Anolis sagrei: one gene and its partner. The protein of the gene in region 1 interacts with the protein of each later gene in a pairwise test. Links are inferred from orthologs where the notes say so. Each region holds a gene or a part of one and is shown on either strand. Other genes may lie near its edges. The genes, in order: PUM2 and DAZL.

Region 1 (16,125 bases):
ATGCAATGGTGGCAGTCTCAGTTTTGAATGCTAGGTAGGCTTTCAGTCTGATTCAAGATGGCTCTTTGTATATAAGCTCACTAACCATGAGATCCATTGTGTTATTTGTTTTCTCTCCAGCTTCTTCCTTTGCACAATTATGCCTTCTTATATGCCCCTTTTCTACCATATCTACAATAATCCTTCCACTCAGAGAAGATTTATTTAAGTGTCAAACAAGTTTTTTTAAGAGAGGTATACTCCTATGTTGCTGTTCAATTCTTTTATAACAAGTTAGGAATACTTGTGAAGCAAGTTATTATTACATAGGAATGCTCACTCCCACCATTTAATCAGCAACAGCATAACTGGGAGGAGTCCCCAAAAAGGCCAAGTCACTATTTCACTGCCAATGACATAATGTATGATAATACTTGAAACCGTGGATAAACAAACCATATATTTTGACTATATTGAGCCAGAAGCATACTATAGAATAGTGATGGATGATCAAGAGCGCTCCACAAACACTTCCAGGAGGGAATATTTTTGAGAGTCTGAATCAATGAAACCATGGATATTAAATCTGTGGGTAATGGGGGTTGAACTATACATAATTCTCTAGGGACAACCAAAAAATCTGCAAACTGTTAAGCTTTTAGATCGCTTCATCTAAAAGGAAGTGGAGAGGAAACGACATTAAATACTCACATTCTATCCATGTTCTCTCTATGATTCCCCTTATCTCAATTTGTACTTGTTTAACTGATATACTTAGGCAATCCCTCGTTGTCTGAATATGATGGCCTTCCAAGTGTAGTGTCTTGGCAGTGGATACGTAGGTGTCTATGGAGCCCTATTCTTGACCTGGATGTTCTTCCACAGTGAGGGCATTGGTTCCCAGGTGGAAGACAGTCCCGATCAGGATTGGCTTGATGCGCCTTTCTCTTGGTACGTTTCTCCCTATTGCCCTCAATTTGTGCCTCTTCGAAATCCGCAGCACTGCTGGACACAACTGATCTCCATTTAAAGCACTAAAGGGCCAGGGCTTCCCAATTCTTTGCTGCTTTTGCACAACAAACCTTAAATGATATGGAATGGCAGAGATTTAAGAAAATGATTTACCCCTGTTGGCCCCTTGTCCTTATCAGTTATATATGGTCCTCATGAATTGGTTGTTCCATCCTAACTGAAGGTTGTGTTGCAGTGACAGCTGTTTACAAAATAAGATCTTCTCAGGAACTAATATTAGATGGAAGTCTAATCAATATGTTGCCATAGAATCTCAGAATCATAGAGTTGGAAGAGATATCTTGGGCCATCCAGTCCAACCACCTGCCAAGAAGCAGGAAAATCACATTCAAAGCACCCCAAACAGATGGCTATCCAGCCTCTGTTTAAAAGCCTCCAAAGAAGGAGCCTCCACCACGCTCCGGGGCAGAGAGTTCCACTGCTGAACGGCTCTCGCCGCTAGGAAGTTCTTCCTTATGTTCAGGTGGAATCTCCTTTCTTGTAGCTTGAAGCCATTTTCTCCATGTCCGAGTCTTCAGGCCAGCAGAAAACAAGCTTGCTCCCTCCTCCCTAAGACTTCCCCTCACATATTTATACATGGCTGTCATCATGTCTCCTCTCAGTCTTCTCTTCTGCAGGCTAAACATGCCCAGCGATTTAAGCCGCTCCTCATAAGGCTTGTTCTCCAGATTCTTGATCATTTTAGTCACCCTCCTCTGGACACATTCCAGCTTGTCAACATCTCCCTTCAATTGCGGTGCCCGGAATTGGACACAGTGTGATTCCAGATGTGGTCTGACCAAGGCAGAATAAAGGGGTAGCACGACTTCCCTGGATCTCGACACTAGACTCCTATTTATGTAGGCCAAAATCCCATTGGCTTTTTTAGCTGCTGCATGACATCATTGGCTCATGTTTAACTTGATGTCCTTAAGGACTCCCAAGATTTTTTTCACAACAAACCATCAATAAACATGAAAAAGGAGGCATGCTGAAATAAAAAGGTGTCTTCTATCAACCCACTTCCCTTTGTGGCAACCTCATCTGATATGTGTCCCTTTCCTTCATTCCTTTCCTCTTCTCGTTCTGTCATTTCTCTTTCTATTTTTGGTTCTTCTTCCCTCCCCCATTGTCACTTCTGCCAACCCCAAACCTTCTTCCTCCCAACCCATAAAGCCTGGCGACAGTGAGGGAAGGCAATCATTTTATTCTTGCCAGATGTCTGAATTGATTGTTTTGAATGGACCTTTTGGTATTTGGCTAAGGGCCCGGTGTAGCCCTAAGGCAGCTGACCCCTGCTTTAAATATGATTGTTTGTTTATCCTCAGAGTGTCTTCTATATCCACCACTCAAAAATGGAACAGTAGAATTTGTTCAGATCATCTTTTTGTGCAATGGTATGCCTTGCTCCCCCCCCCCCTTTTTAAAAAAAAACATAACTCAATAAATATTTACACTCAGTAGGGCATAACAGGGCACTAAAGAAGGCTGGATTATTTAGGCATCAAAATGACATATTTGGGGATGTAAAGCAGAGGCCAACAGACTACACCCTGCAAAGAACAAAATTAAAGCAATTAATTGTAAGGGTAATAATCTGTGCTGAAAGACTCTGTGGTGTTGCTTCAGCAATTAGTACCATATAGTTATCTTTTAAACCTGTAATTTATCAATGTTTCTTCATCTCGGGGTTGGGGTTGTGGGCTTTTCTGCTGTAATCATGTTTTGCCTTGTTCTTGAGTATTTCCTACCTTCTATTTTTGATACAGGAGTATTTTTCATTCAATAATTGGATATTCTCTTTGAAAGTAATCTCTGCTCCATAAGATCCACAGAGGAAAAAACCCACCTCCTCATCTGCCTTAGCTGTTCATTCCTGCTTTAACTTCCTCAAAGTGACACTGAGCTCTTCTGGAAAATTTTTTTAGGTCTATGTAAATATTACAGGCCTTGGATAATTAGTATACTGCCAGTCCAATAGGAAGCTGGTTTTAAGCATGAGGATTCATGGAACTGAGGCAATAGTAACTCACTGAGACCACACAAATAAATGGAGAATTCAAAGTTTAATATGTTTATGAATATTTATAAATTGCTTAGCTCTGAAGACTTCCAATATGTGTAAATGCAGTAAAGATATACTTTGTAACAGCACATAAAATAAAAATATTTATCCTATTCATGAAAAACTCTGGTTGAAAAGTAATTGTCCCTCCACATTTACAGTTCTGGCTTTTGTGGATTTGATTATTCATGGATTTGATTAAAAATGCTCTCTCTAGGATTCTTTAGGTCCTTCAATGTGCGTCTATGGTCACCTTCCCCCAAATGCTGGAGGACCTGAGATTTCTAGAGAAAACATCTCTCTATGTCCTTCAATGACAGTGTCATATTGGAAGACCTAGAAATTGCTAGAGATGTGTTTTCTCAGGCTGTATCTACACTGTTTTATATCCCAGGGTCTGATCCCAGATTATCTGTTTATCCCAGATTCTCTGACAGTGTGGACTTATATAATCCAGTTCAAAGCAGATAATCTGGTATTAGATCCTATGATATAGGGCAGTATAGATCCAGCCTCAAGTAAAAAAAAAATCTAGTAATCTCTCTCTCCCCCCCCCCCATGTGTTTTCACTTTCTTAGGGGTTTTATGCCACTAATCCCAGCAAATATGGAGGACTGTAATTTACAGTTGTATAATATTTTATAAGTACCTATTCCAGCAGCAATTACCACTGCACTGACTTTCACATACGGCTAAAAACCATGTCCCAGAAGTAACTGGGATGAAAGTGGGTGGATATATCATATTTCAACAAAGTGTGGGCGGAATCAGGTTAACAGCTGAAAAGCATGTTAAAAAGGTGTGCTTTAAACCCCAAAAATGTGTACCTTCGTATGATTGTATATCCCTGCAGTCATGCAAAACATATGCTTTCCTTCCCCTGTGCAGACTGCTCTAGCACAACTGTACCTTTTGAAATCCTGAAACAGTTAATCAGTTCATCAGGCTGTCAAAAAAATGGGGCCATGGACACATAGGTGGCTCAAAGGAAGTACAAGTGGAAGGCAATTAGAACCCTCTGAAACTCTTTCTTTTGAACTTCATAATATTAAACAGAGCTTGAATTAACAGTTGAGTGAAGAGAGAAATAAGAATCTGTTTGTGTGTACATTAAGCACATATGAAGTTCAGCACATTACGAAGATAATAAAAAAAATAACTCAACTTCTGCCGGATGTCCCCATCCATCCTCCATCTTGATCCGCTTCAAAAGACTGACAGGTCTGTGTGCTGCCTTCTGCCAGGTCCCGTGATTTTTTGCCTCTCTTTTAAAGCACATCTTTTGGCATTGTTTGGGAGCATCCTTAAACACATTTTTTAAATTAAATAATGAAATTAAGACATATACATAGATTGCATCATCAAGGACTCAAAGGTGGGCTATGACCTTGCCAGTGACTTGTATCATGTCCTATGGAGCCAGAAACAGTGGGATAGGTGCCACTGCTTCCAAAAGGAGAGTTGCAGCCCGTAATTCACTCCTATTGTATTTCCTGTTATTCTTCCCTTCCTCCAGCTCCTTTGCTGCCTTCTTAACAATTTTCGTCAGTAATCCTGGAAGCTAAACTGAACCTCCAGACTCAGGGACCTGTGAGCTCCAGTTGCAAAAGAAGTGGGGAGAAGGAATGCTGTCGCTTTGTGTCCTGTTTATCTATTCCACGGGTGCATAGGCAAGGCTGCCACGGAAAGGAGACAATTAGCCCAACACGCTGAGCCTGTTTTGGCCTCTGTCACTTTTGATACACGCTTCCTGTTAGGTATGGGTTTCACAGGCCTAAATTTGACCTCAGTTTCCTGCCTGTCAACATCTCTGCTGGCGACAATAACCTCGAAGCGCCGATTGGTATGTAATTGTATACCAGCCTTCCTCAATCCAGGGCTCTCCAGATGTGTGTCATTACAATTCTCATCGACTCTGTGTTTTGGATGGGCAAGAAGGGCAGGAGCTCTAGTCCAGGACCTGGAGAGGGAAAAGGTTCGGCAAGGCTGATCCAAATTAGTGTGAATAAATACGCAAACGCCTAGCACAGCTGATGGTTTAGGAATGCCTTCTTTATTAAATGGTGTATCTCGTATTGCCAAACCTGCAGGTCACAGTTTGCCCGCTCCTTTACCAGGAAATCAGAGAGTGCTCAATTAACAATATTGTATGCTATTTCTCCCTATTTCTGGTACTAGTGGAACTAGTTAAAAACACCACAGACCAAAGGTAGAAGTGTGGCTGTATGATACCATTTAAATAGTGTAGAATTATAAGGAGCCCCCGGTAGCACAGTGGGTTAAACCACTGAGCTGTTGAACTTACATATCAAAAGGTCACAGGTTCGAATCTGGGGAGCAGGGTGAGCTCCCGCTTGTCAGCTCCAGCTTCTGCCAACCGAGCAGTTTGAAAACATACAAGTGTGAGTAGATCAATAGGTACCTCTCCGGTGGGAAGATAACGGCACTCTGTGCAGTCATGCTGGCTACATGACCTTGGAGGTGTCTAAGGTCAACGCCGACTCTTTGGCTTAGAAATGGAGATGAGCACCAACCCCCAGAGTCAGACACGATGGGACTTAATGTCAGGGGAAAACCTTTATAATGGGTAAAAGCCATCCAAAAAGGAGTGTTGAGGTTTTTATGAGTAGGTGTGATTCGTATTGTGATTCAGTTTCAGTTTGTACTTGGTAGTAGAATGTAACTGTATAGTTTTGGTATTATATATCACTGCTGCTTAAAGGATGTCCCCGCAGTTCAATGTTGAGATCAGCAAAAAATTGACCACAGTAAAAGCTTTCTGAATGCCACCCATTTACACGGATCTGTTAGCAAGTGGGATCTGCAGAAAATGCTCCAGCTGTGTTCTTCGAAAAGGAAAATCAGCCTATTTAGCAAGCCTTGCAAATGCTGATTTGTTATCAGTAAATGTTTGATTTTCATATCTATTTTATATCACTGTGTACCTGGAATCATGTAAAAATGTATCCGGTGGAAAGGGAGTCATGAGTGGAACAAGTTTAAGACACCTTGTAATATATCCTAAAATCTTGTTTGTTTTGCTATTGCCATTGTATTGTGTTCATTCTTTCCCAATAAAAAATACTTTAAAAAACATTCCAAGGCTTCTTACAAACATCATTAGCAGGCTTGTAAATTAAAGGTCATTCTTAATTGTTCTACTGGAATTGCTTACTTGGGAGCAAAACCAAGTGAATTAATCATTACATGTTTGGCATCAGGAATCCCAAAGAAATTCTAACACAAAACTCTCAGGCTCCTTCTACAGTGCGAGACAAAATCCAGATTATCTGATTTCAACTGGATTATATGGTAATGTTGACCCATATAATCCAGTTCAAAGCAGCGGATGTGGATTATCTGATTTGATAATCTGGATTACATGGCAGTGTAGAAGAGGCCTCACTGGCCAGTAAATCTAGACCAATTTTGTGAAAAGTAAGCAACGAGAGATGTTTACAGATGAGGAATGTTGAAACTAATACAGGTTGTTTGTTTGCTTTCTCCATGTTATTTGCTGTACTGTGAAGTACATAAATGCTGTGAATCTCCAATGTACTTTTATCACCAATATACACAAGCTAACAACACGTTCAATAAAGAATAATGAAAACGTGAATATTGGAAGGGCATCCGTTATTGGGAATTCCCAAATCTGAAGATGTCCATATAGGTGGCTGAGACAGTGACACCATTGCTTTCTCATATTCTAATGCTAATAATAATAGTAGTAGTAGTAGTAACAATTTTATTTCCTACCCGCCTCTCCTCATGCCATAGCTATCCTGTTATAATGTGACATGTCTTATTAAGAGCTACATCCACTCTATTAACATGGCAAGCTGTATTCCACACTGGGCATGCGTATTCAGCAACAGACTTGGAGTAAAACTTTACGTTAATATAGAAATGCAGTCATCAAACACAAATATAGACAAATAAAGACATTCTTAATGTGATGAAGTTTTATTGTATTGCAAAAATCGATTTTACTATATTAGGTAAAGGTTTTTTCTGACAGTAAGTCTAATTGTGCCCGGCTGTGGAGGGTGGTCATCTCCATTTCAAAGCCAAAGAGCCAGCATTGTCCGTAGATGCCTCCAAGGTCATGTGCCCAGCATGACTGCATGGAGCATCATTACTTTTTTGCTTGAGCAGTACCTATTGATCTACTTATATTTGCAAGTTTTCAAACTGCTAGGTTAGCAGAAGCTGGGCCTCACAGCGGGAGCTCATCCCACTCCCCAGATTCGAACCACCAACCTTTCAGTCAGCAAGTTCAACAGCTCAGCAGTTTAACCCCCTGTGCCACTGGTAATATTAATATTGAAATGCCGCCATCAAACACAAATATAGGCAAATAAAGACACACTTAATGAGACAAAGTTTTTACTGCATCTCAAACACCAATTTTAATGTATTATAAACACTATTTCTTCCATTTTTTGCCGATTGCTTGAGAATTCTGGATAACAGAGAATCTACTGCATAGATAGATGTCAATCCATCTGAATCTAACAGTCGAGGATCCCTGTTACCTCATAGAAGCCCAGGAGGCCATCCATATCTTCTGTGCTCAATCTACTCCCACACTGCCATCTCTTTTTTCTTTTGGGTCATGTCTTAATTAGACTGTAAGCCTTGAGAGCAGGGAGCTGTTTTGTTTGTAGGTTATTGTAAGTTTTCCAGGCTGCATGGGCATGTTCCAGAAGCATTGTCTCCTGACGTTTTGCCTGCATCGTCTATGTATTGTTGAAGGCTTTCATGGCTGGAATCACTAGGTTGTTGTAGGTTTCTTGGGCTGTGTGACCATGTTCCAGAAGCATTCTTTCCTGACGTTTCACCTGCATCTATGGCAGGCATCCTGTGGCAGGATGCCTGCCATAGATGCAGGGAAACGTCAGGAGAGAATGCATCAAGAACATGGCCATATAGACCGAGAAACTTACAAGAATGGGTTGTTGTAGGTTTTTTCGGACTATATGGCCATGTTCTAGAGGCATTCTCTCCTGACGTTTCGCCTGCATCTATGGCAAGCATCCTCAGAGGTAGTGGGACCTCACTACCTCTGAGGATGCTTGCCATAGATGCAGGCGAAACGTCAGGAGAGAATGCCTCTAGAACATGGCCATGTAGTCCGGAAAAACCTACAACAACCCAGTGATTCCGGCCATGAAAGCCTTCGACAAAACCTACAACAACCCAGTTGTGAGCTCTTTTATGCCAGAAGCAGGCCTCTCTGCCCTCTTGCCCCTCATATGGTGAATGCAATTGAGAACCGGAACTCTTTGTCTTGCTGAACGGCGAAGACCGAGCCTCTATGGCTTTGTTTTGTTTTTTTCCTGCTTCTTTCTGGTGAGCGGCTTGCGGTTCCTGCGCACGCGCAGGGAGGGCGAAGGGGCGGGGCAGGTGGCGCGTGTGTGTGCGCGCGCACGGAGGCACGCACGCACTCTCTCCCTCGGACTCCTCTCGAAAAAAGCCTGCCCCCTTTGTGTCCCAGCATTCACCGATTGGGGCCTGGGCGCGCATGCGCAGTAGTCGCTTGCCGCCGCCGCCGCTGCTATCGCTGCTGTTGCTGTGTATGTCTGTCCCTCTCTTTCTCTCTTTCACTCGCCATGTTGTTGTGAGTCTTCCTCACGGCGGCGGCGGTGGTGGAGGAGGAGGAGGCGGAGGGGGAGGGGCGGCCGCGGCGGTGGTGGTGGTGGAGGAGGCGGAGGAGGAGGAGGCGGAGGAGAAGGCGGCGACGGAGGGTAGGCGAGAGTGGCCGCGCGGGGCCATTATCGGCGCGAGCGCTGCTGCAGGCGGAGGGAGCCCCCCTCCCTGAGTCCGTTACAGCCTGTGAGTATTCCAACAGGGGGAGGGAAGCTGGGTGGGTGGAACGGCAGGGAGGCGGCGAGTGAGCGAGCGCGCGCGCGGAGGGTATTCCAGCCTCTTTCCCCCCCCCCCTTGCGCCCGTTCACCCACGTTCTATTGTTTCGACGCCGGGAGAAAAAAAAATAAAGGAGGGAGGGAGGGGGAGAAAGAGAAGGGAAGAGCCGCGGTGGCTGTGCCCTCCTCGCCGCTCTCCTCCCCCCGCGCGGGGCCTGCATGGTGGATCCGCGTTACGTCCCTTTGTGTTCCTGTGTGGAGGCGAGGAAGCCATACAAAGCGCCGCGCAGAGGTGGAAAGGGGGGGGGGGGAGAAAGAGACGAGGAGGGAGGCGGCCAGTGTGGGTGTGGTGCTGGAAGGAGCCAGCAGGGTATCTTTGGAAACGTTGCCATTGCCTTTCCCCCATCCCCAAATAATATAAAATGATCATCTTTATCGCACTTGATGTATCTCTTGGCTACACAGTTGTCTGACATCCACATAGAACTGGATTATATGGTAGTGTGGACTCAAGATAATCCAGTTCAAAGCAGATATTGTGCATGATCTGATTTGATATTCTAGGGGCCTTTCTACACAGCCAGAACATCTGCTTTGCACTGGTTTATCTGAGTCAAAACTCAGATAATGTGGGGTTTTCTGCCATAATATTCTGGGATATAGGGCTGTGTAGAAAGGCCCTCAGATAACCCAGTTCAAAACAGATAATGTGGGATTTTTCTGCCTTGCTATTCTGGAATATAGGGCTGTGTGGAAGGGCCCTAGATCACCCAGTTCCAAGCAGATATGGTGGGATTTTCTGCCTTGCTATTTTGGAATATCAGGCTGTGTAGAAGGGCCCTCAGATTACTCAGTTCAAAACAGATATTGTAGGCTTTTCTGCCTTGATATTCTGGGATATAATGCTGTGTGGAAGGGCCCTCAGATAACCCAGTTCAAAACAGAGAATGTGGGATTTTCCGCCATAATATTCTGGGACATAGGACTGTGTAGATTGGCCCTCAGATAACCCAGTTCAAAGCAGATATGGTGGGATTTCCTGCCTTGATATTCTGGGATATATGGTTGTGTGGAAGGGCCCTCTGCCCAGTTTCAGGAAGTGCCTCTGGCCCCTTCCACGCAGCTGAATAAAATCCCATATTTGCTTTACACTGGAATATATGTCAGTGTGGACTCAGGTAACCCAGTTCAAAGCGGATACTGTGGGATATTCTGCCTTGATCTTCTGGGGACCCTTAAATACAACCCCATTTCCCATAATATCAAGGCAAAAAATCCCATAATAGCTGATTTGAACTGGGTTATCTGAGTCCACACTGACATATAACCCAGTTTAAAGCAGATATTGTGGGATTTTCCACATTGATATTCTGGGTTAGATATCTGTGTGAAAGGAACCTCCATGGGCTTTGTCGCCTCCTGGGAGATGCAGCTCCAAAGGTGGTTAGGACAGGAGATTGCATAAGAGAGACAAGGAGATCCTTTTGGAAGTCGGTGGAGCGGAGTGTCAAGGGGGAAGGGGCCTTTCTGGTGGGTTTCTTCGAAGTGGCCTTCTCTTTGTGCAGCCTGTGGTTCAAAGACTGGGGTGTGTGCTCCCTTTGTAGGAGAAAGCAGTGCTTAGAGGCCTCCTCGGCTGTGGGAGGCGAAAGAGGAGCATCGCCGGGGCACTGGATTGGCCAGTGGACCAGTTAACCTCTTTTTCTCCCTTTGTTGTTTTGGTGGAGCCTTGCCAACAGGAACTGGCTTTGCGCGCTCAGCCTATTCTGACGAGGAGAGCTAAAACTGTAACAAGAGTAAACTGCGGGAATATTTGAGCGGAAGTGCGATTTCTGTAGTGGAACCTATCTGTTAGTTAGGCCCTCGCCGACATGAGATTCCATTTTGTGTTGTAATCTGAGGAAAGGATTGATGTGACAAAAGAGTAAGGTGGGGGAGAGTAGCTGTTAAAAGAAGTGGTGGCTAAAAATAGGAATCTTCTTGTGTTACACTGAAATTATTCTCCAGGGAAGTTGTGTAGAAAAAGGAAAGCTTTGGCCTACCCGTTGTTTCTTAAAAGTTTCATCGGTCCTATTTATTTTGACCATTTAATGCAGTTCCAAACTAGCTTCAAAATGCGGGGATCAGACATCAAACTCCCGCAAAAGTGAGCAAAAGTAACCTCTTAATGTGCACAAGTCTTTTGAGGTTTTTGTAATCTCCATCCGGGCCTCAAACTGATTTCAGGATTTCCTATTTAATCATCTGTACATCACTTTCATCTGTACCAGTTTGAAATAACATTAAATTGTCAGTTTAGATGGGGGCATAGTTACGGTAATCTGAGTCCCAAAGGGAAACTGGGTTGCTCTGTTTGTTGCAGCAAAACAATAAGGGTCTTCTGCCACTTTAAAGATTATAGCTCATTTATTATTGCATTACCTTTTAATAGCCGTAGACCACACTTTTATATGCAAAAAGAGTTCGTTAGAACTTCTGTTACAGTTAATAGACTAGATGCATTCTAGAGTATTACTTTAATATAAAGGTTTTATAACAGATGCAGAAATATCATGAAAGGCAGGCATCCTCGAACTGCGGCCCTCCAGCTGTTTGGGCCTCCAACTCTCAAAGCCCTAACAAGCTTGTTCAATTGTCAGTAATTCTGGGAGTTGAAGGCCCAAACAGCTGGAGGGCTGCAATTTGAAGATGCCGGATGTAAGGAATAGTCAAAGGTTCTTACACCAACACAAAAAGCAGTTTAACATGTTTTAGCAAACTTTTTATTTAAGACCGACAATGTGCAAATGAAATAAACCAAGCAGATCAGATCAGCATTTGGAATTGTCCAGAGATAATCTGAAAGTATTTTACAAAATGCATCTAAGGATATCCCCCCTGCCTCCCGACACTAGCTTCTACTTTTCTTACGATTTCCATTTTGTACACTGGGGGCCCTTCCATGTAGCCATATAACCCAGAATATCTGCTTTGAACTTGGTTATATGGAAGTGTGGACTCAGATAACCCAGTTCAAAGCAGATATTGTGGGATTTTCTGCCTTATATCATGGGCTATAGGGCTGTGTGGAAGGACCCTAGACTCACAAATCTGTGGTTTTTTAATATGCTAATGATGGATGATAAGGTCATATTTTTATTTCTCCTTTTCTATCTTGTTTCGCTATTCACATGTGATCAGTAAGGGATTCTGGAGGTAGCTGCAGTTTGCCATGCCTGTTGTGAGCAGACACACACAGTTACAGTAAGATCAGTGAGAACAAAATCCCTTTCTTTCCAACTGAAGCTTTACTGCAGTGTTTACTGCAGACATCTGGGATAATTCAACATTGTAAGAATGTATTTCTCCAGCCTTTTTTCACTGTTTTCCAACTTCTCCCTGTTGCATTGCTGCTAAAAATCATTCCAGTCAGGCAGAGAACAAGAGAGAGAAAAACTTTCTTTGTGGGCAGCTTTGTAATATGAGTTATGTCTGTTCGTACCCTAATATGGTTGGCGTAAGATTGTAGTATTTCTAAAAACCCCTCCCCCGCCTCCCAAATATCTATTCTCTGGGGGGGGGGAGGGGATTAAGAGAAATTTGAGCAACACTTTGCATATCTGCCGAAGTGTGTTATAATCTACAAAAGATGACACTGTGGTGTCTATTGGTCCTTTTAAAATACTACGGAAATTGGTTATTGCACTTAGTGATTCATATAAAACATTTGAGTAACCTTCATTCCTTAGAAAGGCTCTGTAATAGTTGATTATGGGGAAGGAAAGACTCCCAATTCATGAAGCTGATGTTTTGGGTTATTTTTGTATATTACATTTACATTTGTGGGGATATGTTTCTTCCTTTGAAGTATATTCTGTATTTCATTTGAAACTGTTTTTCAGAATATTTTTTTCAATTTATTATCACACACACACGCATGCTCTGTTCGTTTTGAGTGACATCAGTTACAATCCACTGGATGAATTGCCGCTCAGTTTGGTCATAAGAGCCCTACTAACCCAAGGAGTGACCATCACTCCAAATTTTTTTTGACATTTGGGAGTTGTTGCTTGGATTTATAATTCACCTACAATCAAGGAGCATTCTGAACTCCACCAACTATGGAATTTAACCAATTGTGGCACACAGAACTCCCATGAGCAACAGAAAATGCTGGAAGGGTTTGGCGGCCATTGACCTTGAGTTTGGGAATAGTAGTTCACCTATTTCCAGAGAGCACAGTGGACTCAAACAATGAAGGATTTAGACCAAACTTGGCACAAATACTTCATATGGCCAAATATGAACGCAGATGGACTTTGGGGGAAATAGACCGTGACATTTGGGAGTTGTTACTGGGATTTATAGTTCACCTACAATCAAAGAGTATTCTGAACCCTACCAATGATAGAATTGGGCCAAATATGCCACACAGAACCCCCATGACCAAAAGAAATTACTGTGTTTTCTGGTGGTCTTTGGCAACCCTTCTGACACCCCCTCAGGACGTTCCCAGGTTGAGAAATAATGCCTTAAGGCCATCCAGTCCAACTCCCTTCACCAGGGCAAGAAAACATAATCAAAGCCCTCCAGACAAAGAGCCATCCAGCCATAGATTTAGATAGATATATATGATTCACACACACACACACACACATATGTATATGACAGACATAGTATCACAAATTTGAAAGGGACCCCTAAAGAGGGACAGTAATATGTTCCATGTTCCAGAGTAGGCAAACCAGGCAATCTTTACATAAATACTGACAAAGAAACAAGAAATACTGTTTACCCACAAACATAAAAGAAATTACATATATTAGAAAGCAACACTTTCTCATTACTTTGTTTTCCAGATCACCAGACTGGGCCACAGCAATGCGTGGCACGGGATGGCTAGTGACTAATAATGTTACAGTAAAATTATGATGTAGAACTTCAGAAAGTAATTCAATAATGCAAAATTTCTTTCAGTTTTATGGTTTTCCTGATTGTGTCAACCTGTTTAGGTGTAGGGAAAATCTTTATACATTGTATTTCCAGAATCAGAAACATAAGGATTCTTTCTCTTTCCCTTTTGTGCTGCTGAAAAAAAATCCTCAGCTAGAATCTCATGAGATTTCAGAAGATATTTCCTTTAAACTCCATACAAGATGTATTGCTCTCAAAACACTATTAAAAATCACAGCACATTAATGGCCATGTATAAAAAGGAAAATATCCCAACTTATCTCCCTTCCCAGGAGGTCTTTGAAAATTACATGTATTTCTTCTTGGACTTGGTATGAGGTTTACTTATGAAATTGAAGAGCCATTCAGAAAGAGGGGAAGGATTAAGCTAATGATCCTCTACCTGTGGGTCCCCAGATGTTTTGGCCTACAACTCCCAGAAATCCCAGCCAGTTTACCAGCTGGGTTTCTAGGAGTTGAAGGCCAAAACATCCAGGGGTTCTCCAGTTGAGAACCACTGGATTAAGCTGAGACAGGCACCAAGGGATTAGATGGAAGCAGAAGGTTAGAATTTGAGGCCCAGCATTGAAATAGAAAGCCCCCATTCCAGCTTCTTTGTCATCTCTGTATATGCATAAGCAAAAGAGTAAGGGCAAATCTTTAATCCTTAATGCTAGATATCTCCTACCCTCTGAGCCATAGTAGCTAACAAGAAGAGATGCTGTTGAGTATTTTTCTCCTTCCCTCAATCTCAAGCCCAGTCAGCATGCCAGGATCCCATATTTTTCATGAGGATTCCTCGTTCTTGGTGTTTTGTATGTGTTAGGCCATTATTTGGATTCTAGAGTACACTTCACATAGAAAAGATGATGAGGGGCTCCTGTAGCCAAATCATTCAGGAGTGCTGCTGCTTATGCCAGTAACTCTTTTAGCCCAGGCTTCCAGCTACTGAACATGGCATTGACAAATAGCAGACTTAACAAGCCTGATCACCTGCTCCCTGCCAGGAACACCACAAATTGTTGCATAGCTTTCAGTCATGAAGCTTGCAGAACTGCAGGACTCTGCCTAAAACAAATATATATTGATTTAAAATTTTACAAGAAAGTAAACATAGGTTTAAAAGTTAGTTTTTAAAACTCAGACACAGAAAGGGGGGAAAACCATTTGTAAATTTTCAGAAGAAATGAAACTAGTCTGGCTTGTCTTGGACAAAATTATTCCTGTTGCGTACCAGCTTTACTACAGTTCTGCTTGCCTCTTGGGCTAGTGGTATGTGCAGTAGGGTCTCTGTTGAAGATTTGAACTGCCTATGGCTTTATAGGTCAACAAATCATATATACTTGTGTATACATTAATGTCATGTATTAGTTGAGGAAAGGTTTGACTGTCAAATTATGGATTTTGATATGATTTGTGGCAAATTGGAATGTCATTCCTTGCAGTGAGGAAACAGCTAGCTCTGCTTCAGGGGACCAGCCTCTTTGGCTGCCTCCACCACCACCATTTTCCTGCCTAGGCATCCAAACAGATCTTTTGCCACTCTTTGAGATGTTTCCTATTTTGATAAAAGTTCAGACATGGTTTTAATTCCTGCCAAAAAAAGGTGGTGATTGTAGGGAACCATTAAAATTGCAAAATTAGTCCTTCCTAAGAAAACCTAAATAAATCACAGGCTGCTTCTCACCACTCCTGGGAGGAGGGATGCCAAAGAGCCGATGCCTCCACCATCATTTTCCCAACAAGGCATTCAAAAGGGCCAGAGAGAATAATTTTGGGGGGGGGGGGGGATCTTTTTCTCAAGCTGTAGCTTCTGAATAGTTTTTAAAGGTAACCCCACATAGATGTTGTATTGTAGTATTGTGATTGAGAGTTAATTTGCTTTCACTAATACTGGGTGAAGGTGGTACAGCAGCTATTGGTCAGAGATGTTCCTTTCCATAGCACCTTCATAAATAGGTTTACTACACCATGGTGGAACTTCTCGTATTCTGGTGATGATGGTGTGTATTCTTTAACTGCATGCAACCACATGTATGGAAGATCTGGAACTTAGTGGAAGGGATGGGAAGAAAAATAGTGAGCAATAACCAGAAGCTGAAACATGTGGTCACTGGATGTGCAGTAAGGATTTGTGAGGAAGAGAGAGAGTCAATAGTGGAGATATCTGTTTAATGCCAATGTTAATTCCTTCACCTCTCCCTTGTCTCCATTATGGGAGAGACTAGTTGTCACTATGTCTGTATATCACTTCCTCTTTGGTGGTTGCAGTG
Region 2 (16,340 bases), on another chromosome or scaffold:
CCATTTTGCCATGCAAATAAAGTTTCATTACAAATTATATTGAGGCTAGCCTTTTTACCAACCAGGTGCCCCTCTGACTTTATATGTTGACAACTTAGTGTGATGCATCATTCCATTCTATCTCATCTCTTGTTATCTTTAATCTGCCTTGGTGCATTGAAGGCATTTGATATCTATTGAGGTTCCACATGCTATGGATTTTTGAAGTAGTTTCCCTTAGATTCTGAGTAAACTTTATAATGACTCCAAAGCCATAATTCACATTAATGGGATAGATTCCAAACCTACTGTTTGACTCAAGGCACAAAGCCTTTCCCCACGACTTTTTGCACTAGCCATTAAACCACTCATGAATCAAATTCAATAGTGGGCTTTACTGGACATCATCCAAAGCCCTCGCCTTATACTAATTATGGATTTAATTAACACTGGCAAGTCATATAACAAACAAACAAATTTTTAAGTTAGTATTATAATTTATTGGGATCCATGGTGTCTTTTAAACACACCATAATTATAGTACTGTTTCAAAATGGATTGCTCAAAAACTAAATTCTGGTCTACCTACTTCATCACACTAGAGAATGAATCCACTTTAAATCTGGTTTCTGCCTCCTGCAGAATTCTGGGGTTTGTAGTTTAGTGAAGCTCCTCCCTAAACTAAAGGCTCCTCCCTAAACTACAACCCCACCCCAATTCTGCAGGAGGCAGTAACCAGATTTAAAGTGGTTTCATTCTCTAGTGTGATGAGAGTTTTAAACTCTCCTCTTTTGCATTGTTTACTGCCAGGGGTATTCTTTATTTTTCAGACGATTCCACAATATCCTTCCAAACAAATGTTTCTGCAATGGCAAAATAGAATAAATTAAATTGGTATGTGAAGAAAAGGACCCTAGATTTGTTAAAACAATTCAACACATATGTTCAGGAAAAGGGAGTCGGGCAATCCCAGACATTGAATTGTATTATCCTGTCTTTCAGTTGAGTCTGCTTATTCAGATCATCAGATAGGACTCAACAAATAAATGAGTTTCTCTGGCAGTCCAGCAAAACTCCTTGGAGAGGGAATTACTTTTTAATGGTGTTTCTTTGGAGGGGAAAAAAACACCAGACAGAATTTCAAATTCTTTTTGAGTTATTCTCTTCATATTTGGAAATAATGAGCAGCTATCTGGCTTTTTGTCCATCGCTTATCATCTCCTTTCTGTCTCAGCCAAATTTTTGTTTTCCTGACAAAGCAGATCTATATGTGGGGTGGGGAGGAAAATGTATATTTAGAATAAGATACCTGTTCTTAAGGGGGAGGTTTGGAAATAAATACAGTTTGGTCAGACAACTTGAAAGGATCAGCAGTAAATTGCCTTTAATGGCACAAGTCATGACTTACTTTTTTTTAAAAAAACCTAATGTGTAGTGGGAATTCACCTTTTCTCTGATACTTTTAAAATACATGCTACAAATATTTATAGTTCTCAGGATTAAAATCTCAGATTGTTTCCCCTATACTTGGGGTGTTGATTATCAGTTAAAAAGGTAAAGGTTTCCCCTGACACTAAGTCTAGTCCTGACTGCATGGAGCTCCGTTACCATCCCACAAAGGCAGTGCCTATTGATCTACTCATATTTGCATGTTATCGAACTGCAAGGTTGGCAGAAGCTGAGCCTAACAGCGGGAGCTTCCCGGATTTGAACCACTAACCTTTCGGTCAGCCAGTTTCGGTCAGCCAATTCTGGGGTTTGTAGTTTAGTGAAGCTCCTCCCTAAACTAAAGGCTCCTCCCTAAACTACAACCCCACCCCAATTCTGCAGGAGGCAGCAACCAGATTTAAAGTGGATTCATTCTCTAGTGTGATGAGAGTTTTAAACTCTCCCTCTTTTGCATTGTTTTATGCCAGTTCAGCGGTTTAACCCGCTGCGCCACCAGGGGCCCCTAATTATCAGTTACTTATTGAAAATTAAGCGAGGAGGAGCTGAGGAGCCTTCTAATCAAGGTGAAAGAAGAAAGCACAGAAGCTGGGTTGCAACTAAACATCAAAAAAAAATCAAGATTATGGCAACAAGAATGATTGATAACTGGCAAATAGAGGGAGAAAACGTGGAGGCAGTGACAGACTTTGTATTTCTGGACCATAAGGAAGTCTGAGCGAAGGAAGATGCTTTTGAACTGCAAGAAGATCCAACTAGTCCATACCCCAGGAAATAAAGCCCAACTGCTCATTGGAGGGAAGGATAGTAGAGGCAAAGATGAAGTACTTTGGCCACATCATGAGAAGAAAGTAAAGCTTAGAGAAGACAATTATGCTGGGGAAAATGGAAGGAAAAAGGAAGAGGGGTCAACCAAAGGCAAGATGGACTGAATTGACCTTAAAGGAGCTGGGAGTGGTGATGGCCGACAGGGAGCTCTGGTGTGGGCTTGTCCATGAGGTCACGAAGAGTCGGAAACGACTGAACAAACGAACAACAACAATTGAAAATTAATGGCAATCCAAATTCTATCAGTATAAACAACAACAAAATATATTTATACATATCGGTTTAAGTAGCCAAGGAGCCTATTGGGTGGTCCAGCATTCCCAACATTCGACAACACACTGTGCCATTATGATTAGAGGGTCAGAGATGTTGAAAATAATGTGATTTTGATGGACCTGAATGTGAGAATACAAATAATTCAGGGCAATTGCAGAGCCAAATGCATACCCAAAATGTTAACAAACTTCAAGGTTAGAAATAGGATTTAAGGGAAAATCTTTTTAAAAGATTATCAGAGACTTATAGCAATGCAAATATATACTTCCAAAACTACTGACAATTTGTAATGCTATTACTGTATGTTTCTTATCGTGCTATGCGGCTCTGATTATTCTGCCTACAAATCCAAGAAAGTAATCTCCAAAAATTGTATATTCTGCTGTTTAATTTCCGAATCCTTCCTTCCAAGGTATTTTAAAAGATTTTGCATTATCTTGTGCCTTCCTCTGCCAAGCATCTCATTTTCTATTCTTAACATTCTGTTTACACCATAGAGTTGGAAGGGATCTTAGAGAGCATCTAGTCCATTTTCCTGTTCAATGCAGACTTGTAGCCTCGATTTTCCAGATAGAAACAAAACAAGGGTAGCCAAGCAGTACCAGGGGATGGTTAAGATGGCAACAGTTATTAATAATAAGGAAGGACAAGTTAGAAATTGGCTGCTTTTGCCTGTGGGAAAGGTATGATTCTGCCTCTCCTCTCCACTAACTGATTACAAAAAGATTTCTACTAATTGTGTGAATTTCAAATCATTGTGAAACTGGATTGCTGTGAGTTTTCCGGGCTGTATGGCCATGTTCCAGAAGCATTCTCTCTTGACATTTCACCCACATCTATGGCAGGCATCCTCAGAGGTTGTGAGGTTTGTTGGAAACTAGGCAAATGAGGTTTATATATCTGTGGAATGTCCAGGGTGGGAGAAAGAACTCTTGTCTGTTTGAGGCAAGTGTGAATGCCATTGATCATCTTGATTAGCATTGAATAGCCTTGCAGCTTCAAGGCTTGGTTGCTCCCTGCCTGAAGGAATCCTTTGTTGGGAGGTGATTAGCTGGCCCTGATTCTTTCTTGTCTGGAATTTCCCTATTTTTTAGTGTTGTTCTTTATTTACTGTCCTGATTTTAGAGGGTTTTTTTAATATTGGTAGCCAGATTTTGTTCATTTTCATGGTTTCCTCCTTTCTGTTGAAATTGTCCACATGTTTTTAATGGTTTCTCTGTGTAGTCTGACATGGTAGTTTTTAGAGTGGTCCAGCATTTCTGTGTTCTAAATATATGCTGTGCCCAGGCTGATTCATCGGGTGTTCTGTTATGGCTGACTTCTCAGGCTAAATTAGTCTGCAGTGCCTTTCACGTACCTTGATTCATGTTTGGGCAATGCTGTGTTTGGTGGTCCCTATGTAGACTTGTCCACAGCTGCATGGTATACAGTAGACTCCTGCAGAGGTGAGAGGATCCCTCTTGTCTTTTACTGAACATAGCATTTGTTGGATTTTCTTAATGGGTCTGTAGATGGTTTGTAGGTTGAGTTTTTCATCAGCTTCCTTATGTGCTTATTCCGAAGCAAGTGCATACTGCAATCTTTGAATACTTTTTTCTTGATCAGTACACCCAATGGATCATGGCAAGCTGCTTTTGAAACAGACAGAAGTTTCAAAAGATGTAATTATATCATATGCTAAAATAAAAGAACAACAAAGAAAGTTTCTGTTGAATTGGTTCAAGCATTTTGTATTTGACTTTGAATCTTGGTCATTCTCTTTAGTTTGAAATTAATTGGATTCAGAGGGATGTATTGACACAGAACTGCGGCCATAGCAGGCACTGGGACATTCTGATTAAACAAATGGGAAAACTACCACTAATAAGATCCCAAAGGGGGTTTAACAGCCGGCATAGGCAATGCTGGTCCAGAGACAGAGTAAATGAGATCATTCCAACAGAAGAATTTCAAAGGGAGAGACCACTGTGAAACAGTTGAATAATTATATAGATTTGGAATAAACAGAAGCAGAAAAAAATGAAATATAAAGATAGAGAACGGGGGCGCCTGGCTTGACAGAAGTATGTGTTAAACATGAACCAACAATGTCTTGGGTGGCAAAAAAGCCAATGGGATTTTGAGCTGCAACAGAACAAGTATAGTGTCTACATCAGACCACACTTTGAATAATCTGTCCAAATTTGGGCACCTTAATTGAAGAGAAATGTTGACAAGCTGGAATGTGTCCTGAGAAGGGTGACTAAAATGATCATGGGTCTGGAGAACAAGCCCTATGAGGAGCGGCTTAAAGAGCTGGTCATGTTTAGCCTGCAGAAGAGAAGGCTGAAAGGAGGCATGATGGCCATGTATAAATATGTGAGATGAAGTCATAGGAAGGAGGGAGCAAGCTTGTTTGTTGCTGCCCTGGAGACTAGGACGCAGAGCAATGGCTTCAAACTACAAGCAAGGAAATTCCATTTGAACATTAGGAAGAACTTCCTGACTGTGAGAGCTGTTCAGCAGTGGAACTCTCTGCTCTGGAGTGTGGTGGAGGCTCCTTCTTTGGAGGCTTTTAAACAGAGTCTGGATGGCCATCTGTCAGGGGTGCTTTGAATATGATTATTTGTTTCTTAGCAGGAGCTTGGACTGAATGGCCTAAGAGGTCTCTTCCAACTCTATGATTGTATGATTCTAAGCAATAGTCCTGTGCTACCACAGGTCACTGACCAACACAGCTATTTCTCTGGAAACTGACCAGCTGTCTCTCAACAGATCATTGCATGGACAACCACTAAAATTATATTCAAAACTAGCCGTCCCCTGTCACGCATTGCTGTGGCCCAGTTTGAGCATATGTGTTTTTGTGTGTATATATATTTGTGTTTATGTAGTTTTGCGCATGCATTGTAATGTTGTTGGGGTTTGGGTTTTTTTGCTTTTTAAGTCTCTTCTGCTCTCTTTTTCAGTGTTTTTATGAGTGATGGTCACTCGTTGGCCTTATAGGTGTATTGTGCCTGAATTTGGTGTCAATTCATCAAGTGGTTTTTGAGTTATGTTAATCCCACAAACAAACATTACATTTTAATTTATATAGATTATACAATTTTTTTCAGCACTTGCATAAAAAGAATAAAGAAACATTAAGAACACATAAAAAGGCTGAAATGAAGATTAAAACATGAGACTCTTCATTTTTAACACGGATTTAAATTCAAAACATACACTATAAACATTTAAGAAAACAAAGTTAAACAAATTAAAATATTTACAATTGTAAAATGCTTTTATCATTGGGATTTGACGAAATCTAATAATCTTGACCCTTGTGAGACAAGAAATAGAAACTACAAATGTTATTTGCTGGGTTAGTTTCTCTAAATGTTTTCACTTGAATCAACATTATTTAAATGGCGAACAAGAAATAAACAGTTTCTATGCAGTGTTTACTTTTTAGATTAACTGATTATGATCTTTCTAACAAGTGTGCATTTCATGGTTCGGATTCACAAATAAATTACCTAAAATGGTGTAGTTCCACCTTGACATTTGTCCATTCTGATTTGGATTATTGCACATGCATTTCCTTCCCTCTCCTAAGTATATTCTTCAATATAATCCGACTTCAACTCGAGTATGAATTGTGCTGCCAGGAGGAAGCACACTAGTAAAGGAATCACTGAATTAGAAGTTCAGAAAAAGTATGATTTTGCATGAGTAACACATGTGCCTGCTGAATATATCTACCCACTTAAAAACCTTAAATTGGTGTCAATATGATTAAAATTAATCAGATCCATAGAGCTGCAATACTAGTGTAGAAATCAATTGCAAAGAAACCTAAGGCATGGACATCTACTCTTCTTTTTACAAGCTTTAGAAGAAAAATCTACAATCTTCCTATTCTACTTTTAGACAAATTTTACCACCAAGAGGTTCTACCTTTGGAGACTCCTTTCTTGTAATTTGAATCCACTGGTTGAGTTCCTCTAAATCGGCAGAAAACAACCACACTCTTTCTCTTTCTGATTACAGACCAACAGGTTGCATGTTCAAATCCAGGGAGAGTGCAGGTGAGCTCCCTCTTTCAGCTCTAGCTCCCCATGCAGGAACATGAGAGAAGCCTCCCACAAGGATGGTTAAAAAAAATCAAAACATCCAGGCATCATCTGGGCAACATCCTTGCAGATGGCCAATTTTCTCACACCAGAAGCTACTTGCAGTTTCTCAAGTCGCTCCTGATATGACAAAAAGGTAGAAGGAACCATTCTCTCTTTTCATATTGATTTGGGAACCTCCCCTTTCACTAGGAATTCTGTCTTAATTCCCAAAACAAGAAAATTTGTTTTATCTGTGTGGTAGAGGATATATGACAAGTTGTGAAAATTACTGTTGTTCCTTAACACATAATATCTAATGACATCAGCAGTGATTGAGTTGGGATAATCCTAAACTAATAATCCAGCCAATTTTCTCACACCAGAAGCTACTTGCAGTTTCTCAAGTTGCTCCTGACATGACATATATGTTGAGTTGTAGTTCAGCTACATCCAAAGAGCACTGTGGACTCAAACAATGATGGATCTGGACAAAACTTGGCATGAATACTCAATATGCCCAAATATGAACACTGGTGGAGTCTTGGGGAAACAGACCTTGACATTTGGGAGTTGTAATTGCTGGGATTGATAAAGGTAAAGGTTGTCCCCTGACATTAAGTCCAGTCATGTCTGACTCTGGGGTGTGGTGCTCATCTCCATTTCTAAGCCGAAGAGCCGGCGTTGTCCATAGACACCTCCAAGGTCATGTGGCCAGCATGACTGCATGGAGAGCTGTTACCTTCCCGCCAGAGTGGTACCTATTGATCTACTCACATTTGCATGTTTTTGAACTGCTAGGTTGGCAGAAGCTAGGGCTGACAGCGGAAGCTCACGCCTTTCGGTCAACAAGCTCAGCAGCTCAGCACTTTAACCCACTGTGCCACCGGGGGCTCCCGGCTGGGATTTATAGATCACCTTAAATCAAAGAGCACTCTGAACCTAGCCCACAATGGATCTGCAACCCCAGAGAACATGGTGGACTCAAACAAGGATGGATCTGGATCAAACTTGGCACAAATACTCAATGGTCGCAGGTTCGAATCCAGGGAATGGGGTGAGCTCTTGCTGTTAGCCCTAGCTTCTGCCAACCTAGCAGTTCGAAAGCATCCAAATGTGAGATCAATAGGTCTGCTCCAGTTTCCCAAGTAGATCCATAGGTCTGGGAAGGTAATGGCGCTCCATGCAATCATGCCGGCCACAAGACCTTGGAGGTGTCTATGGATAACGCCGGCACTTCGGTTTAGAAATGGAGATGGACAAAGACAACCAATAATGACCAGAGTAGGAAAGGACAATGCCGATGCTAAATGGTTTACGGACTTGGATTTGGTGAACACTGACCACAAGATGTTTTATTGCTGCTAGTATACTGTATGATGGTTTTAATTAGTTATAACTGTGATATTATGTGGTAAATTTGTGTATTGTATAGTGTATTGTATGTTGTAATTGTTAGGCATCGAATTGTGCCTTTTGTAAGCCACCCTGAGTCCCCCCTAGGGGGTTGAGAAGGGCGGGGTAAAAGCACTCCAAATAAATAAAATAAATAACATTTTGTTAGTTTTGGCCCATCTCTCTAATCCGTCAAGATCGTTTTGAATTCTGCTCTTCTTCAGGCTAAGCATACCCAGCTCCTAAGCCACTCCTCATAGGGCTTGTTCTCCAGACCCTTGATCATTTTAGCCGCCCTCCTCTGGGCACATTCCAGCTTGTCAACATCTCTCTTCAATTGTGGTGCCCAGAATTGGACACAATATTCTAGATGTGGTCTAACCAAGGCAATCACAAAGTGGAGTATCTTGCATTTGTCACTGTTGAACTTCATTTTGTTAGTTTTGGCCCATCTCTAATCCGTCAAGATCGTTTTGAATTCTGCTCTTCTTCAGGCTAAACATGCCCAGCTCCTTAAGCCGCTCCTCATAGGGCTTGTTCTCCAGACCCTTGATCATTTTAGCCGCCCTCCTCTGGACACATTCCAGTTTGTCAACATCTCTCTTCAATTGTAGTGCCCAGAATTGGACACAATATTCCAGGTGTGGTCTAACCAAGGCGGAATAGAGGGGTAGCATTACTTCCCTAGATCTCGACACTAGGCTCCTATTGATGCAGGCCAAAATCCCATTGGCTTTTTTTGCCGCCACATCACATTGTTGGCTCATGTTTAACTTATTGTCCATGAGGACTCCAAGATCCTTTTCACACGTACTGCTCTTGAGCGAGGCATCCCCCATTTTGTATCTTTGCATTTCGTTTTTCCTGCCAAAGTGGAGTATCTTGCATTTGTCACTGTTGAACTTCATTTCTTGCATTGTCACTGTTGAACCAAGCGTTCGGGTAAGCTGGCAGATGGACAAAGACAACCAATAATGACCAGAGTAGGAAAGGACAATGACGATGCTAAATGGTTTACGGACTTGGATTTGGTGAACACTGACCACAAGATGTTTTATTGCTGCTAGTATACTGTCTGATGGTTTTAATTAGTTATAACTGTGGTATTATGTGGTAAATTTGTGTATTGTATAGTGTGTTGTATGTTGTAATTGTTAGGCATCGAATTGTGCCTTTTGTAAGCCGCCGTGAGTCCCCCCTAGGGGGGGTAAAAGCACTCCAAATAAATAAAATAAATAACATTTTGTTAGTTTTGGCCCATCTCTCTAATCTGTCAAGATCGTTTTGAATTCTGCTCTTCTTCGGGCTAAACACGCCCAGCTCCTTAAGCCGCTCCTCATAGGGCTTGTTCTCCAGACTCTTGATCATTTTAGTCACCCTCCTCTGGACACATTCCAGCTTGTCAACATCTCTCTTCAATTGGGCACAATATTCTAGATGTGGTCTAACCAAGGCAATCAAAGCACATTCTGAACTCCACCAACGATTGAATTGGGCCAAACTTCCCACACAAAACCTAGATGAGCAACAGAAAATAGTGTTTTCTGGGGTCTTTGACAACACCCCCCCTCCCCAGGTTGAGAAACGCTGTGGCCTAACCCAACCCCAATATGTGTAACATTTTAGTAAAGGCTTAAAAGGACGCCATGAGTGTGGATTTAGGCCTCAACCAGGCCCCCCTCCCTCCCTCCCTCCATGGGAATAAAAAGTCCCGGCTGGATCCCTGTCTAAGGAAGGCGAGTTGGGTGTGGCTTGAGCCTCATTGGGCCGGGCCTTCCCAACCTGCCGCTTAAAAGGACGAGGCTTGTGTTTTGAGGGAAGGAGGTGTACGTGTGGGGGTTGTTATTGGTCTCTTTTGTGTGTTTTGGAGCCGGGGTTTGGGGAGCACGTTGGGGAACCCGCCTGTGACCAAGGCCGCGCGCGCGTGGGCAGAGATGGTGAGTCGTCGCGCAGGGAACAACGCGCCCAAGGAGTTGTAGGTCTTGTTTTGAGGCGCAGGGAGGGGGACAAAAGAATGAATAGGCCCAATATGGGGAGCCTAGTAATGGCTGGAGAGGGTCTTTAAGAGCGCCTCGCTTCGAAGGGTTTGAGGGAGAAAGCGGCTGAAGGAGGGACGATGTGGCGTTGGGTGGAAAAGGCGGGAAGCCCTCGCCACGCCTTTGAGGGGAGACGGGAAGGCTTTGGGGCCTATGGCGGAGGAGTAAGTGCAGAATTCGATAGGCGCCACCACCATTTTGTCTCCTCAGGCACACTCTCATCTCGACGGTCTTTGAATGCACTTCGAAGGCGGCTTCAAACTGCCACCAAAAGCGCGCCAAAGCAAGGCCCCTTCACGCGCGCCATTGCTTTGGAGTGTCACCACCAGTTAGACCTCAAATGGGCGCAGCAAGATCCCTGGCTTCAATCCACTTTAAATGTGGGGGCTCTGGTTCAGAACAGTTGAAAGCCACACTGGCCTTCCCAGATCGTCTTGGGTTGGGTCTACACCAGGCATGGGCAAACTTGGGCCCTCCAGGTGTCTTGGACTTCAATTCCCACAATTCCTAACAGCCTCAGGCCCCTTCCTTTTCACCCCCAGCCGCTTAAGCGGCTGGGGGTGAAAAGGAAGGGGCCTGAGGCTGTTAAGAATTGTGGGAATTGAAGTCCAAGACACCTGGAGGACCCAAGTTTGCCCATGCTTGGTCTATCCTACCTGAACTGCAATATATAGTCGTTGTAATGCCCTTCAGTCTTGGGTAGTAACCGCCTATAATGCCCTTCAGTGCACTTTAGAGTAAATTATAAAGGTCTGTATTGTATAGTCTTGTGTAGTAACCTCCTGTAATGCCATTTAGTGCATTAGGGAAAATACACTAAATTAAGAAAGTATATATTCTTTATTATATATTAAGAAAGTATATATTCAATAGTATTGTGTAGTAGCCTCTTGTAATGCCTTTCAGTGCAGTTCAGAGTACATTATGAAGGTCCATATTATATAGTTTTGTGTAGTAACCTATACTGTCCTTCAGTGCAGTTCAGAGTACATTGTAAAGGTCCATATTATATAGTTTTGTGTATTAACCTCCTATAATGCCCTCCAGTGCAGTTCAGGGTACATTATAAAGATCTATATTATATAGTCTTGTGTAGTAACCTATACTGTCCTTCAGTGCAGTTCAGGGTACATTATAAATATCTATATTATGTAGTCTTGTGTAGTAACCTCCTATAATGCCCTTCAGTGCAGTTCAGAGTACATTATAAAGGTCCATATTATATAGTTTTGTGTAGTAACCTCCTATAATGCCCTTCAGTGCAGTTCAGAGAATATTATAAAAGTCTGTATTTCGTAACCTATACTGTCCTTCAGTGCAGTTCAGGGTACAATATAATCTATATTATATGGTAATGTGTAGCAACCTCCTGTAATGCCCTTCAGGGTATATTATAAATGTCTATATTATGTAGTCTTGTGTAGTAACCTCCTATAATACCCTTCAGTGCGGTTCAAGAGTATATTATAAAAGTCTGTATTTCGTAATCTATACTGTCCTTCAGTGCAGTTCAGAGTACATTGTAAAGATCTATATTATATGGTAGTGTGTAATAACCTCCTATAATGCCCTTCGGTGCAGTTCAGAGTATATTATAAAAGTCTGTATTTTGTAGTCTTGCGTAGTGACCTATAATGACTGCTCTGCAGTGCAGTTCAGAGTATATTAAGAAAGTCTATATTCAATAGTATTGTGTACCAGCCTCTCGTAATGCCTTTCAGTGCAGTTCAGAGTACATTACAAAGGTCCATGTTATATAGTTTTGTGTAGTAACCTATACTGTCCCTCAGTGCAGTTCAGAGTACATTATAAAGGTCTATATTATATAGTTTTGTGTAGTAACCTCCTTCAGTGCAGTTCAGAGTACATTATAAATGTCTATATTATATAGTTTTGTGTATTAACCTCCTTCAGTGCAGTTCAAAGTACATTTTAAAGGTCCATATTATATAGTTTTGTGTAGTAACCTATACTGTTCTTCAGTGCAGTTCAGAGTACATTATAAAGGTCCATAGTTTTGTGTAGTAACCTCCTATAATGCCCTTCAGTTCACTTCAGAATACATATTTTATTTAATCATTGTGTAAGGAGCGAACCAAAACAGTTGTATTGCATTACAGACAAACAAACAAAACACAAAGTTTGCAGACTTGGTATTCTATTAGATGTCCTTTGACCAGCAGCTGGCTACTTGGAGTGCCTCTGGTGTTGCTGCAAGAAGGTCCTCTATTGCGCATGTGGCAGGGCTCAGGTTGCATTGCAGTAGATGGTCTGTGGTTCGCATGCCGTGGATTCCACTTTGTAGCCCCATTTCTTAAGGTTGGTTCTGCATCTCGTGGTGCCAGAGCGCAGCCTGTTCAGCGCCTTCCAAGTCGCCCAATTTTCTGTGTGTCCAGGGAGGAGACTCTCATTTGGTAGCAATTGATTGAGGTTCTGGGTTTGAGCCTGCCACTTTTGGACTCTTGCTTGCTGAGGTGTTCCCGCGAGTGTCTCTAGATCTTAGAAAACTATTAATTGATTTAAGTCATTAAATCATTCAGAGTACATTATAAAGGTCCATATTATATAGTTTTATGTAGTAACCTTCTATAACGCCCTTCAGTGCAGTTCAGGGTACAGTATAAAGGTCTATATTATGTAGTCTTGTGTAGTAACCTCCACTGCAATTCAGAGTACATTATAAAGGTCTATATTATGTAGTCTTGTGTAGTAACCTCCTATAATGCACTTCAGTGCAGTTCAGAATACGTTTTAAAGGTCTGTATTATGTAGTTTTGTGGAGTAACCATCTATAATGCCCTTCAGTGCAGTTCAAGTGGCATTATAGGGGTGTACACCAGGCATGGGCAAACTTCAGTCCCCCAGGTGTTTTGGACTTCCAGCTCTCACAATTCCTAACACCTGGTAGGAATTGTGGGAGTTGAAGTCCAGAACACCTGAAGGGTTGAAGTTTGCTTATGTCTGCTCTGCACTGATCATGTCAGTGTAGATCCAAGCCTTGACTTATAGAGAATGTTTGCGGGGAAGGCCTCCAATTGATGATCTGGCTGCCTGCGGTTAATTTTAGGATATGAGGATTAATACTTTTTGACACCACTACCATGACTCCATGCTGTGGAATCATGGGATTCATAGTTTGGTAAGGCCACCAGGATACAGACGGAAAAGGTGAAAGACGTTGTGGAACCACAACTTCCTTGATTCCATCCTGTGAAGCCATGGTATTTATATTTAAAAGTCGTGACAAACTGCATTAATTCTGCCCCGCTTCATCGCTGCAGTCTTTAATGTGCTTTAGTGTGCTTACTTAGAAGTAAGCCCCATTGTCATTGCTGGGTGTTACATCTAGGTAAATCCTTGGGTTCAAGCCAATTTCCAAGGGTGCATCTGCACTGTAGAATTAATGCAATGTGACACCACTTTCGCTGCCATGGCTCAGTGCTATGGAGTCATGGGATTTGTAGTTTGGTGAGGCACCAGCACACTCCTGCAAAGGAGGCTAACAATCTCCTGACAACTCCCAGGAATCCATAGTATCAAACTTGATAAGACAATTAAAATTGTGACAAACTGCATTAATTCTACAGGGTATCTGCACCCTTGGGCCCCATCTAGAATGAACATTTAATGAAGTTCAAAGCTAGCTTCAAATTGGCAGCCAGGCAACTACCTTCCACAAAAGTGTGCCAAAGAAAGCTCTCAACGCTCTCTGGTTTTTGTACCTCAAACTGATTCCAGGTTTTTCTGTGTCATCATCTGCACAGTGAAACCACTTCTTTCAATATTGATTTGAAATTGCCTTGAAACTGGACTTGCAGTTTGGTGAGGCGCCTGCCCTGTTGAGCAGACAAGACTAAAACCTTGTAAAGCCGTAACTCCCATGATTCCATAGTATCAAGCCCCGGCAGTTAAAATTCTGACAGACTGCATTAATTTTACAATGTAGATGCAGCCTTCATCTCTGAAATCTTCATTGTGCCTACTTGGAAGTAAGCTCCATTGTTATCATTGGGGCTTAGTTCGAGGTTATAGGGTTTGAACCAATTTCCAACTGAAGCACCTCCAAGTTTTACTGTAACCCCAAGCCTCAACCTTTCCTCTCCTTGTCCTCTTATCTAGTTGGAAGTTTTTTTAACAGCATCAGCATTGGGAATTCCAGTAGTGAAGGATGTGTGGAGAAACACAGGCTATTGGTGTCAGGTTGCAGCAATTTGTCTGCAATAAACAATGTAATAAATGCTTGAGTTGCAAAGTATGCCATTTTACCCTTAACTGTTCCTATTCCAGCTTGTTTGTATCTGCCTGCAACACTTAAGATAAACAGCAGGTGCCTGCAGAATCCTTTACTAAGCATTCATGAACATCAACTTAAAGGCAGCTGGCTATCCAACAAATTTGTTTAAAAAAAAAACCAGATCTGTAAGTTTGGCCACCAAAATTGAAATCTACAAAGTGGAAGTAGATGAAGGATAAAGTGATCCTTGGATGCATTTTGAAAGAAGCCTTCAAGTGATCTCAAGAAGATTCCATATATTTTTGTCTTTCTGGAAGGCTTACATGACCTGATTGGTTTCATTTCACATGTGCATGTTATTTTGGATAAAAAGTTTGCAAACCCACAACGAACTGCTATTTTGTGGTGTAGTAACCAGTGCTAATTCTTTCCATTTTATCTCTGCCTCTGGCACCCACCTATGTTCTTAACCTCTGTGCCTGTATTCCTAACTAGGGTTTTGGGAAATTGCTGGTTAATGCAACTGGAGTTTAACTGCCTGTAAGACAAATTGGTAACACTCATGAGGCCTGATGGGAGAAGTTTGTGTGATAGATTTTTTTCCAGGCTGGTATTTAGTGAAATTTGTCAAGTTACAGAAATCTGGCTGCTGGTGAGGAGTTGTACCAGCTATTAATAGTATGGGATCAAAGAACACCTGAAATACTCAGTATAATCTTTTGAACTTGAAAAACTGTAATGTTAATAGAGATAATAGTTAGAAAATATGGTCTATAAAAAGATGTGTATAGATGAGATTTTAGTGAAACCTGCAAGTCGAATGAAACTGACCAATATAGGCTTTTATGTTCATATTATAGACAAACCAAAACTTAATGGTTTTCATATTAGCATCTGTGCCACTAATTGCATTTATTTATTTTATGTCAAAAGCATTACATAAATAAGTATAAAACTGATAAAATAGAGGGAGCACAAGCAGCTAAATAATTTTAGACCAAAAATGGGCAACAGCAACGCATTGTCTGTGCCTTTAAACAGTTCTTCCTTTGCGCATGAGGCAGGTCATTGTAGGCAAGCATACACATGCGGTGTTCGTTTTGCCATTTTGTCAGGTTGTCTTTTGATCTGTCCACTCCACTTCTGAGTCTGTTCAGGGACTTTCAAATTGGCCATTCTTCATTTGCCCCTGTGGGAAGACCCTCAGGGGGGCGGGTCATTCATTTGGGATTTCCTGTTTTAGCTGCCCAGAGTTGCTGTTGCTGGGAAACATTAAGAGGAGTGGTGATTCTCAATTAGCAACTTCCCGCCGCACATTGGGGGGAGGGGGGGGCAATGCCAGCTAGCTTATACAGTCTATAAACAGATGTGGGTTTGAGACATCCTGTGATTATTCTACATGCTTTATTCAGTGCTATATTCACCTGTTTCATGTGGACAGACTTGTGCCAAACAGGGCAGGCATATTCAGCAGTTGAATAAGACAAGGCCAGGGCTGATGTTCTTATTCATTTTGGGTCTGCACCCCATGCACTGCCAGTAAGTTTCCGCAGGATGTTATTGCGAGCAGCTACTTTGTACTTTGTGTTCATAGTGTTTCTTAAATGTTAGTGTTTGATCTAAGGTGACGCTGAGATATTTATGATAGGAACAGGTTCGAGCTCTTGGCCTTCCCAGGTAAATTTCAATTTCCTGTTGGCTTCATGGTTATGTAGGTGGAAGGCACACACTTGTGTCTTGACAGGGTTAGGCTTCAAGTGGTTATCCTTGTAGTAATGTTGGCATTGCTTTACTAATTGCACTTATACCTGTGAGATATTCAAATACATTTCCTAGCCTAAAGTGTGAAAATGTCTTTTAAGGAAATCTGTTTTATTGCTTTGCAGTCTGCTGGAAGTCAAGATGCTCAGAATGCAAGCATTCCTAGGGACGAAAGCACTCAGTTGCCTGCAACAAGCCAAGGATATGTTCTTCCTGAAGGGAAAATCATGCCAAATACTGTTTTTGTGGGAGGAATTGATATAAGGGTATGTTTGTTGTTGTCATGTGCCTTCAAATTGCTTCTGACTT

The links.
Region 2: the proteins of PUM2 (region 1) and DAZL interact in a two-hybrid assay, tested with the Homo sapiens proteins (2 studies listed by BioGRID and IntAct). The link is inferred for Anolis sagrei from reciprocal best matches to the Homo sapiens genes PUM2 and DAZL.

Annotation. Positions count from the first base shown.
Region 1 is NC_090021.1:136,243,009-136,259,133, reverse strand, and holds the start of PUM2 (pumilio homolog 2), read left to right. Parts: upstream 1-8,769; 5' UTR 8,770-8,893; intron 8,894-16,125. UniProt on the Homo sapiens protein: Sequence-specific RNA-binding protein that acts as a post-transcriptional repressor by binding the 3'-UTR of mRNA targets.
Region 2 is NC_090026.1:88,916,290-88,932,629, forward strand, and holds the start of DAZL (deleted in azoospermia-like), read left to right. Parts: upstream 1-9,777; 5' UTR 9,778-9,934; coding exon 9,935-9,937; intron 9,938-16,156; coding exon 16,157-16,297; intron 16,298-16,340. UniProt on the Homo sapiens protein: RNA-binding protein, which is essential for gametogenesis in both males and females. Plays a central role during spermatogenesis.